Coturnix japonica: one gene and its partners. The protein of the gene in region 1 binds, or shares a complex with, the protein of each later gene. Links are inferred from orthologs where the notes say so. Each region holds a gene or a part of one and is shown in the gene's direction. Other genes may lie near its edges. The genes, in order: LAMTOR5, FNIP1 and LAMTOR2.

Evidence for each region.
Region 2: LAMTOR5 (region 1) and FNIP1 share a complex: the UniProt entries of both Homo sapiens proteins name them as parts of the lysosomal folliculin complex. The link is inferred for Coturnix japonica from reciprocal best matches to the Homo sapiens genes LAMTOR5 and FNIP1.
Region 3: LAMTOR5 (region 1) and LAMTOR2 share a complex: the UniProt entries of both Homo sapiens proteins name them as parts of the ragulator complex. The link is inferred for Coturnix japonica from reciprocal best matches to the Homo sapiens genes LAMTOR5 and LAMTOR2.

Annotation. Positions count from the first base shown.
Region 1 is NC_029541.1:1,788,797-1,792,543, reverse strand, and holds the start of LAMTOR5 (ragulator complex protein LAMTOR5), read left to right. Parts: upstream 1-1,173; 5' UTR 1,174-1,273; coding exon 1,274-1,308; intron 1,309-1,419; coding exon 1,420-1,481; intron 1,482-3,050; coding exon 3,051-3,168; intron 3,169-3,597; coding exon 3,598-3,658; 3' UTR 3,659-3,747. UniProt on the Homo sapiens protein: As part of the Ragulator complex it is involved in amino acid sensing and activation of mTORC1, a signaling complex promoting cell growth in response to growth factors, energy levels, and amino acids.
Region 2 is NC_029528.1:1,525,109-1,528,855, forward strand, and holds the start of FNIP1 (folliculin-interacting protein 1), read left to right. Parts: upstream 1-1,178; 5' UTR 1,179-1,195; coding exon 1,196-1,389; intron 1,390-3,747. UniProt on the Homo sapiens protein: Binding partner of the GTPase-activating protein FLCN: involved in the cellular response to amino acid availability by regulating the non-canonical mTORC1 signaling cascade controlling the MiT/TFE factors TFEB and TFE3.
Region 3 is NC_029540.1:79,357-82,782, forward strand, and holds LAMTOR2 (ragulator complex protein LAMTOR2), read left to right. Parts: upstream 1-1,484; 5' UTR 1,485-1,608; coding exon 1,609-1,676; intron 1,677-1,790; coding exon 1,791-1,953; intron 1,954-2,345; coding exon 2,346-2,435; intron 2,436-2,673; coding exon 2,674-2,730; 3' UTR 2,731-2,872; downstream 2,873-3,426. Other genes in the region: UBQLN4 (ubiquilin-4), read right to left, coding at 1,237-1,380; RAB25 (ras-related protein Rab-25), read left to right, coding at 3,408-3,426. UniProt on the Homo sapiens protein: As part of the Ragulator complex it is involved in amino acid sensing and activation of mTORC1, a signaling complex promoting cell growth in response to growth factors, energy levels, and amino acids.

The DNA of each region.
Region 1 (3,747 bases):
TAACCCAAAATGGAGCTCTGGGACAGGCAGGATATCCAGTATGGGGGGGATGCAATGGGATTGGAGTGACTGGTGACGATTCCAACTCAATCAAGAAGGGGAAAAAAATTGAAAGAGAAATAAAACTAAGAAAAATCACCACTGCATTTCACTTCCCCCATCAATAACATTTTAATTTTCCAGCCTGACATGATAAGATCCATTGCCAGGGCTGAGCTGGATGCGTTTCAGCCATCAGTCTCAGGCTCTGATGGCTCTGCCATCCATCACCTCCTGCACACTGAAAGCAGGGCACGAATGGCTGTGATACAACACTACAGCCCCACGTCCTCTGTGGGAGTGGGTGTGGGGCCCTTACAGCTCTTTGGGGACAAATACAGGGCATAAAGAAAGGTATGGAGCTGTGTTGGGATGGACAGGATGGGTGTTAGGAAAAGGCTGAGCACCAGAGGGAGGTGGGCATGGCACAGCTCCACAGGGCAGGGGCACCCAAAACCATAGGGGTTGGGTGGAGGGAGTTGGACTTAGTGGTACCTGTAGGTCCTCATTGACCAGTGGTTGACTAATGGTTAACCAATGGTTGACCAGCTGTTGACTAGTGGTTGGCTTCTGGTTGACCAGTGCTTGCCCAGCAGTTGACTTGTGGTTGGCTAATGGTTGACCAGCAGTTGACTAGTGGCTGACTACTAGTTGACCAATGGTTGACCAGCAGTTGACCAATGGTTGACCAGTGGTTGACCAATGGTTGACCAACAGTTGACCAGTGGTTGACCAGTGGTTGACCAATGGTTGACCAGCGGTTGACCGGTGGTTGACTAGTGGCTGACCAATGATTGATTAATGGTTGACCAGTGGTTGACCAGCAGTTGACCAGTGGTTGACAATGGTTGACCAGCAGTTGACCAACAGTTGACTAGTGGTTAACAGTGGTTGACCAATGGTTGACCAGTGGTTGACCAGCAGTTGACCAATGGTTGACCAATGATTGACCAATGGTTGACCAATGGTTGACCAGCAGTTGACCGGTGGTTGGCTAGTGGTTGACCAATGGTTGACCAGCAGTTGACCAGTGGTTGACTACTAGTTGACCAATGGTTGACCAATGGTTGACCAGTGGTTGCCCAATGGGAACATACCGGTGCTGCTCAGGGCGGTTCCCGTACATTGGCTTCGCTTTTTGGCCCTGCGGAGCCACCGTAGCGTGCATCACATGACCGACGCAGCTGCCAGGAGCCGCCGAGAAGGGCGGAAGTGAAGGCGACAGGGGGGCGGCATGGAGGGGAGCCTGGAGCAGCACCTGGAGGACACGTACGGACCGGGATGGGGGCGGCGGGACCGAGGGGCTGGGGGGGGGAAGGAAGGCAAGGCCGCGGGCTGGGGGCTGGGTGTAGGCCGGGCTGACCGCCGCTTCTCCCGCAGCATGAAGAACCCGGCCGTGGTGGGAGTCCTGTGCACCGACTCGCAAGGCCTCAACCTGGGGTGTGAGTATGGGAGCGACCAGGGCAGGGCCTGGGTTAGGGGTGGGCATGGGGACACACATAGAGCCCCTATAGACCCCCATAGAGCCCCTATGGACCCCCTATGGACCCCTATGGACCCCCCCCATAGGACCCCTATGGACCCCTATAGAACCCCTGTCCCCCATAGAACCCCTGTGGACCCCCCCGCATAGAACCCCTATGGACCCCCCTATAGGACCCCTGTGGACCCCGCATAGAACCCCTGTCCCCCATAGAACCCTTATGGACCCCCCATAGAACCCCTATGGACCCCCTGTGGACCCTCATAGAACCCCTATGGACCCCTATAGAATCCCTGTCCCGCATAGAACCCCTGTGGACCCCCCCGCGTAGAACCCCTATGGACCCCCCTAGTAAACCCCCTATGACCCCCCCAGTATAAGACCCCTATGGACCCCGTATAGAACTTCCTGTCCACCATATAACCACTGTGCGACACCCCCCATAGAAACCCCTGTGGACCCCCTCATTAGAACCCCCCCCCAAACCACAGAACCCCTGTGGACCCCCCTGGATAGAACCCCTTGGTGACCCCCCATTAGAACCCCTATGACCCCCATAGATAAAAAAAAAAAACCCCCCCCCCCCCCCCTTAGAAACCCTGTGCCCCCCTGGCATAGAACCCCTTTGGGACCCCACCCAGTAGAAACCCCTATGGACCCCCTCCCCATATAACCCTATGGACCCCCCCCATATAACCCTATGGACCCCCCCATAGAACCCTATTGACCCCCCCATAGAACCCCTATGGACCCCCCATAGAACCCCTGTGGACACCCCATAGAACCCCCCCCATAGAACCCCTGTGGACCCCACCCCCAGTAGAACCCCTGTGACCCCCCCACATAGAACCCCAGACCCATAGAATCCCTGTGGACCCCCCATTACGAACCCCTATTACCCCCCCATAGAACCCCGTATTGGAACCCCCATAGAACCCCCCATAGAAACTCACGCATCGCAATGCGTGTCTGGATGCATACCCCCAAAGAACCCCCCCATAGAACCCCTTGGACCCCCCCCATAGAACCCCTGTGGACCCCCCTGCATAGAACCCCTGTGGACCCCCCTGCATAGAACCCCTGTGGACCCCCCATAGAACCCCTATGGACCCCCTTTGGGACCCCCCCCCCATAGAACCCTTATGACCCTCCATAGAAACCCCTGTGGACCCCCTGTAGAGCCCCTGTGGACCCCGCATAGAACCCCTTATGGACCCCCCCATAGAACCCCAATGGACTCCCATAGAAGCACCAGCACAGGTTGCCCCTAGCTAGATGTGGGTGCTCTGGCCCTGGAGACACTGGAAGTCAGGGATGGGGGCTGTGAGCATCTGCTGGAGCTATGGGTGTCCCTGTTCATTGCAGGGGGGTTGGGCTGATGGCCTTTATATGTCCCTACCAACTCATGTGATTCTTTGATCTGGGGAGGTACTACATCAGCTTACAGCAATAAGGGAAGGAAGTGGGGATGGGGAGCTGCCTCCCATCACGGTGTGCGTGAGTTCAACCCACATCTCCCCTCTTGCAGGCCGAGGAACGCTCTCAGATGAACATGCTGGAGTCATCTCTGTGCTGGCCCAGCAGGCAGCCAAGCTCACCTCCGACCCAACCGACACTCCTGTGGTGTGCCTGGAGTCAGACAGTGGGTGAGCATCCAGCCCAAGGCTGCTGCTCTTCCCTTTTTCCCCACCCCAAATCTCCAGAGCAGAGCTCTCCATCTTCTATTTCACTGGCAGAGCTGGAGGAAGCCCCATTGCTGAAGCTGTGTTGGGAGGGGGGTATGAAAAGAAGTCAGATTCATGGGACCTCAGGCTTTGGGAACTGCAGAAGCAGCTGGAAGCCTTTCAGGGGCTGGTGGTTGCTGCAGCACTGTATTTCTTTTGCTTTTTGGATCCCCATGGATTATTTAGCCCATGCTGTAGTGTCGTTTTGGTCAGCAGGACTCCATCATCCCCCTTTGTGGGAACAGCTGACAGGTCTGGCACTGAGCTGCCCATCTGGTTTCCCAGCCAAGTCAGCTCCTGCTCTCCCAGCTGGTTTCTCACCTTCCTCTGACAGCACTTTCCTTGCTCTAGGAACATCATGATCCAGAAGCATGACAGCATCACCGTAGCAGTGCACAAGTTGGCATCCTGACCGTGGCATCCTGATGCTCCATTCCCTGCTCCAGACCAGCTCCTCCTCATTCTCCTTGGCTGTTCCAATGCAGAACACGCTTCTAGTAC
Region 2 (3,747 bases), on another chromosome or scaffold:
TGAAGGCTTTCACATGGTGAAGGGATATAGAGAGCTCTCCTTAGTGAGCCTGTGGCACACAGGTGTGTCCTCCATCCAGAATAAGGGGGAAGGATGCATCTGAACATTGGTTCCTGCTTTCTGTTACAAGCATCAACTTCTAGCGGATGAAAACCAGAGATCCTGCAGGTGGTTGTGTATCTTATGCACAAAATATCCTTGTTTAAAAGCATTTCTAATGTAACATTATGTCACATGCTGACTTAGTTTAATTCCATTTTCCAGGGAAAGCAGATGAGTCAGTTCTATTTAATCAGTTCCTAATTATTTTCACTTTCTGCTAGTCTTGTATCTTAACAAGTGAGACAGTGAAGGAGGCTGTTAACTGGACCCATTGGTTTAAACCTAATAAATGCTTCTGCAAAAAATGCTCCCTTTGGCTTGTGTTTGGTCTGGATTCACATGTGGGTTATGTGTGGGTTACTATGTCCTAAATGCGTTTGGCAGATGGATGTTTTATGGGTACGATGGCTTCCCCTGCACACAGCACACGTGGCTGCCTTCCTTCCTCCCAGCTTGGAGTGCTATTTCTGTCTGTGCTGGGGGAGCCCCCCACCCTGAGCAGGCCTGGATGAGATGAAAGGTGGGAGGAGATGAGTTTGTTCTTTATTTCCAACCCCAAAGCTTGACCTGTCCGAGGAGATCAAACTGAAACCTGTTTCCACTTTCAAGGAAAAGTTTCTTAAGTGCTGCAGGTTGGATGTAAGATAGAGTTACTTCTCTCAAAGAGCAGCTGAGCACCGGCACAGGCCGCCGTCCCTGAACTGTTCCGGAGCGGGGCGACGTGGCACGGGGGCACACGGGCAGTGGTACGGTAGGTAGGTAGGTAGGTAGGTAGGTAGGTAGGTAGGTAGGTAGGTGGGTGGGTAGGTGGGTGGGTGTGGGTCCCGGCGGTGTTTCCCGACCGAGGCTGTTCCACGGGCTCTCGGCCCCTCGTGGCCTTTCCCGTGCAGCAGGAGGAGCCCGGCCCCGCTCCGCCCCGCTCCGCCGCTCCCCGGCCCCTCTCTCCGCTCCCCACCCGGGGGCTGCGGGCTCCGCTTCCCCCTCGCCCTGCCCACGTGGGGCCTCAGCCACTCAGCGTCCCACGCAGCGCCCCGCCGGGCCCGCCCCGCCGGCCCTCCCCTTCTGGCAGCGCCGAGTGACTAATTTTTGTCATATGACTGTGACACCGAATGGAGTCGGGCGGGCGGAACTAGCCGCGGCGCGGGGACGGCGCTGCTCGGAGCCCGGCGGCGGGGGGCAGCGGCGGCGGCTCCCCAAGATGCCGCCCACCCTGTTCCAGAAGCTCTTCAACAAGAAGCACGGCCTCAGCTCCCCGGCCAGGGACGCGAGAGACGACTGCGTCTTCAGGTAACGCGGCGCCGGGGCCGCCCTCCTTCCCCCCCGCCCCGAGCTCGGGCTCCCGCTCCGCCGTAGGGGCCGTGCGGGGCCGGGCAGCGCCTCTTCCCCGCCGCTCCTCCGCCATCCGCCGCCGGGCTCTGCCCCTCACGGCGGCCCGGCCCCGCCGCCCTCCTTATGGCCCCCGGGGCGGCCCTGCGGGGGCTCCCGACGTTCCCTCGGGGGATGCTCGGGGCCGGGAAGGGGGGAGGATGGTGAGGGAGGCCGGCGCCATGCCGCTCGTCACGGGGCTGCGAGCCGGGAGGGAGCGACCTTAAAAACGTGAAGAAAAAGGAGGAGAAAACGTTAAGTCGCTGCCAAGAGAGGTGTAGGGTTACTGGTGAAATCTGTCACGATCTCACCGCGACGGCGCTGGGTCCTCGGTCGCAGCAGTGGGGCTGAGGAGGGGCGGTGGGATCCACCCGGAGCTCCGTTCGGGGCCGTCGTGTGGGAACGACTCGGTTTCTGGGCTTTAAAATAGAGCACCCCGCACTGGGAAGCCACGCAGCCCCCTCTTGGCTGGAGGGACAGAAGGTGGCCCTGAGAAATAGTTTTAAAGTGCAAAGTTTGCAGTTTGAGTGTGGACCGAACGTTGTGCGAGGCGCTGCTCCCATCTGCTGCCCTGACAGCCCCACCGGGAAGGGGACACCTGAGTGCACGTGGGGATGTGATTCCTGCACCCGCTGCTTCGGGCGGCTCGTGGTGCTTGTGCTGTTGTCGGAGCATCGCGGTGGTCACAGAGCCCTTGTGTGGTCAGCACGCAGCTTGGGCAGCACCTGAAGGCTGGTGCTGCAACTCATAGAGCTGCCTTCTGGAGATGCTGCTCTCCTCTCTCTCCTGGCTGTGGTAGTGGCTCCTTTAAAATATACGTACTTTAGGAGACAAAGCTTTTTAACGATGTCCGTATCATCTGATTCTCTAACTTAGCTTATTTCTGAGGTCAGGCTCCTTGCTGGGGAAGGGACACCAGGGCTGCAGACCCCAGGCAGAAGCATGTGGATCACAAAGCAAAAGCTCTGCTGGGAGATGCCTCTTCTTCCTTCTCAACTCACAGCGTGCCAAACTGCATGTGGACGTTGAAGATATGTCACGCTGTCTGCTCTGCCCTCCTCCACTCACGTAGTGCTGCTTCACCGTGTCATGGGAACCGTCAGCTGCTGGTAGATGCGCAGTTGTTCACTTGGTGCTGATGGTTGAGGTGTAGGATGGGGCTGTGATTCCAAGAGCCAAGTGCTGGATTTCAATGGCCTGTAGGCACATTGCCTAGTGGCTTCTTTTGCTTTCCAACTGGGGATAAGTCTGGAGTTAATCCTCACTACACATGGCCGCGTTGGTTGTGGGCAAAACTTATGGAGAATACACAAAATACTGTTATTTATGATAGCTGGGTTTTGGAGCCTGGAAACCAGTTTTTGTCTGCTTCTGTGCTTCTAGTAAGTACCGGGGCATCAGTGTCATTGCCTTCAGTGATACAAGTGTATCTTCATGGATACTTCATGTTACTATTGGTTTATATTCTCAGTAAGGAAACCTTTTCCAAGTATACCGCGTGCTGTTGCTGTTGATTGCCTTCTCGTTGGTCCTCTTAGCGAGAAACTGTGTAGAAAATACCTTACAATTATATAAATTCACTTAATATATTTAGGGGTTGATAAGGAGAGAGAAAAGTCCAGCTTCTATGGCAGTGACATCTGTATAGCAAGTGGTTTTAGGATTATTTTAATGCTTTTTTTCCTCTCTTTGACCATATTCTGCCTTTCCTTCAGACTTATTGTGAACGTTTACTAAAGCGTAAGTTCTACTGATCTCAGCTTATGTTGTTTCAACAATAACAGAAATTACCTTTTCCTCTGGAAGCTTTTCCTTATTACTTTTCTTTCTCCTGCCCAGAATCCTTTTGTCTCAGGTGGGGATGTGACACGTTGAGGCTGAGTGCAGCAGCACTTCAGAAGCAGGTGTGGAGAGGCTGCCCCTTCCAGGGAGGTGCCCAGTAAGTCAGCAGCTGCAAAGCATTTGCTGATGTCTCACTTTGTTTGGTTTTTCTTTCCCCTGTATGTGAGAAGCAGCTTTAAGATCCACTACATATTGGTATTTTAACCTGTCAGCTTAACTGGTGACAGTCAGCAGAGCTGATCTTCAGACTGCACTCTCCCCGTGCAGCCAGGTGTTTGTAGCAAGAGCAAAAACATTCCATGCTTTTATAGTAAAATATGTTTACAAGAAACACCTGCATGTATTCCAGAGCAGAGACAACCCTTAAGCTCTAAGGTGTCGAGTACCAGCTGTCTGCTGCAAATAATACTCACGTGAGTGGATTTTCCCCAAGGGTAA
Region 3 (3,426 bases), on another chromosome or scaffold:
CATTTGGAAGCCACAGAGTTCAGGAAATCCACATGGAAAGGCTGGGAGCAGAAGATCACAGCTTTCCTGGGGCAGCTCGCTGCCATGGTCCAGAACTCCCGAAAAACTGGGCCTGGGAGGACGGACCCCTGGCACTGAAGTGACCCAGGGCGTGAAGCTTCACCCGCTGCTCTGCACGCTGACAGCACAGGGCTGGGAAGCAGCAGGGCCACGCACAGCACACAGCTCCTGCCCAGCTCCCAGCACACGCTGCAACCTCGTGCCCTGAAGCCCACATCAAAGTACACAGCAAAACACACACACAGCCAAGATCCACAGCACTGACACCACTCTGCCCCGGCGGGCACTGCCACCTGCACAACGCTTCTTGTGAACCCTCTGCTGCCCTGCAAACACACAGTGCCCCTGTGGAGCTCCCTGCTCACAGCAAACCCACATGTCTGACGTCCCCTTCCCTCTGCTTCACTCTCCCTCTGCCCCAAAGGCAGAAATGAAAGGTCTGAGAAGGACGGACAGAGCAGCCTCTGGCCTCAGCCCCACCGCACACATCCACTGCCCCACAGCTCCCCGCAGCCCAGCCCCAGGGCCGCGTCCCATCACAGCACCCACCCGCTGCCTCTCAGCTCCCCAAGCTGCAGCTCCCGCTGCTCTTCCAGCAGCTCCTGCCAGCCCCGGAGCCGCGCCCCCATGTGCCCTGACCTGAGGCATCTCCGGGCCCTAAGGGAGAAGATCCCTGATCCCTCCAGGCCCAGCCGCCCCACGCAGCGCCTCCCCGCTGTCCCACAACACCCCCACTACCAGCAGCACAACCCCCGGGCCGTGCCCCTCACACCCCCCCCAGCCCGCAGACCCCTCCCGGCCCCCCCTTCCCGTTCCCACCGGCACATCCCGCCCCCCCCTCCCGCACCGCCCCGACAACGCCCCGTTCTCGCCCCCCGGCGGGTTCCAGCCCCTCGGCTCCCGCACAACACACGCCGTCACTCCGCTGCAGCCCAACCCCGGCCCCACGCCCCCCATGGCCGGGGAGGCCCCAGCTCCGCTCAGCCCAGCTCCGCTCCCGCCCCTCACAACCTTCCCCCCCCCGGCTCCTCACACCCCCGAGGTTCCTCCCTCCAATTCTCGCCCAACCCCTCCCGCCACCTTCCCGCTCCGCACCCTCCTCGGTCTCGCGGCCCGTGTCTCCCGCGGCCCCTCGCAGCGCTCAGGCCTAGGCCCCGTCCTCCGTCCCGTCCCCACCTCGCGCACGGAGGCGCCGTCGGCGATGACGATCTCCTCCTTGTCCTTGGGGGTCTTCACCGTGACGCGGATGAGCGCCCCGCCGGGACCTCCCAGCTCCGACCCGCCGGGGCCCGGCCCGCCGCCGCCACTCGGCTCCGCCATCTTCGCCGCCCGCCCCGCCAGCCCTGGCCGACAGAGAAAGGCCGGGACAGAGCGCCGCCACGGCCCGCGCCGCAGCACAGCGCCCCCTGGCGGCGGGGAGGATCGAGAGGCGACGGAACCGGAACCGGAACGGAGCGCGGAACCGCCCCGAACGGAACCGAACGGCAGCAAACACCGAACGGGGGCGGCCTACACCGGGAACGGGCCCCGCGCCCCGCGCTGCCTGCCATGCTGCGGCCCAAAGCGCTGACGCAGGTGCTGAGCCAGGCCAACACCGGCGGCGTCCAGAGCACGTTGTGAGCGGGGACGGGGCCGGGGGCGGTGCGACCGTACGGTCATTGCGGTGTGATGTGACCGTACCGTCACGGCGGGGCTCGGCCCGGAGCTGACCGTTCCCCGCTCCGTTGCAGGCTGCTGAACAATGAGGGCTCGCTCTTGGCCTACTCGGGATACGGAGACACGGACGCCCGCGTGACCGCGGCCATCGCCAGCAACATCTGGGTGGCCTACGACAAGAACGGGCACCACGCGTTCAACGAGGACAACCTGCGCTTCATCCTCATGGACTGCATGGTACGGAACGGCTGCGGGACCCCACGGGATCCATGCGGGACCCCCGGTGTGCGGGACCCACAGCAGCACCCACAGTGGGATCCGAGGTGTTCAGCAGCAGCTTCTGTGTGGGAGCCCAAGGGGTCCGTGTGAACCCCATAAATCTCAATGTGACCCCATAAATCTCAGTGTGACCCCATAAATCCCAATGTGACCCCATAAATCTCAGTGTGACCCCATAAATCTCAGTGTGACCCCATAAATCTCAGTGTGACCCCATAAATCCCAATGTGACCCCATAAATCTCAATGTGACCCCATAAATCCCACTGTGACCCCATAAATCCCACTGTGACCCCATAAATCCCGCTGTGACCCCCTGAATCTCCGTGTGACCCCGGTTCTCTCCGGCAGGAGGGGCGCGTGGCCATCACCCGCGTGGCGAACCTCCTGCTGTGCATGTACGCCAAGGAGACGGTGGGATTTGGGATGCTGAAAGCCAAGGTGAGGGGATGGGGGTGAGGGGATGGGGGTGAGGGGGTGGGGGGCTGCATTACGGTGAGGTGTGAAAGAGCCACGGGGTTAAAGCCGGGAGGAAGAGGATGGGAGAGATGGGGGAGGAATTGCAATCAAAATGGGAACTGTCTGCGTGGGTCCCAGATTGGTGCTGGGGTGGGACGGGGGTTTGCCCACAGAATGTGGGCGCTGGGGGCTGCACCCCTCACCACCATCCCTGCCCCAGGCACAGGCGCTGGTGCAATACCTGGAGGAGCCGCTGACGCAGGTGGCCGCATCCTGAGCTGCATCTGAGCTGCATCCTGAGCATGGAACCGCGCTGCCACGGCTGAGAGCAGCGCCTGCACGGGGGGAACCGTGTTGTGAGCCCGGCTGTGCTGCTGGGCAGCAGGGGAGGGGAAATAAAGCCACGTGTGGTGCTCGTGTCCTGAGTGTCTGTCAGATCAGTGCAGGGTGGAAGGGTGGGACGGGGTCAGCCGTGCACCCAGCCAGGGGTCTGTGGTGCAGCTGGGAGCGTTGTGCTGTCCCTGCTGGGGCTGCTTCCCCCACGTTCCCATCTCTCTGTGCTGGCAGCAGAGGTGCAGGCGGCCGTTGGTGCCCGGCCAGCTCCATGCTGAGCCCAGGGCCCCAGTGCCCCAGGCTGCCCCGCGCCGCGTGGCCTTGGCAGCCAGGACCGGGCCCGGCTCCTCCTCCAGGTGCCCCGTGACGGTTCCAGGGGTGACATTACCTGCCCAACCTGCGCTGCCGCTCCCAGCCTGCACTCAGCCGCCCTGGGCCTCCCTGCGCCGCCCGCGTCGCCTTCACTCCCCGACCGCGCTCCCTCCTGGGACCCCCCTCACTGCTGGGACCCCCCTCACACCCCGACACAGAGGAGACTTTGCCCCCCTCACCACCCCCTGCAGCCCGCCCCGCTCTGAGCTCTGCGGAGGGAAGGAGGAAACCGGGCGGCAGCCGGGAGATATGAGCAGCACTGAGGACG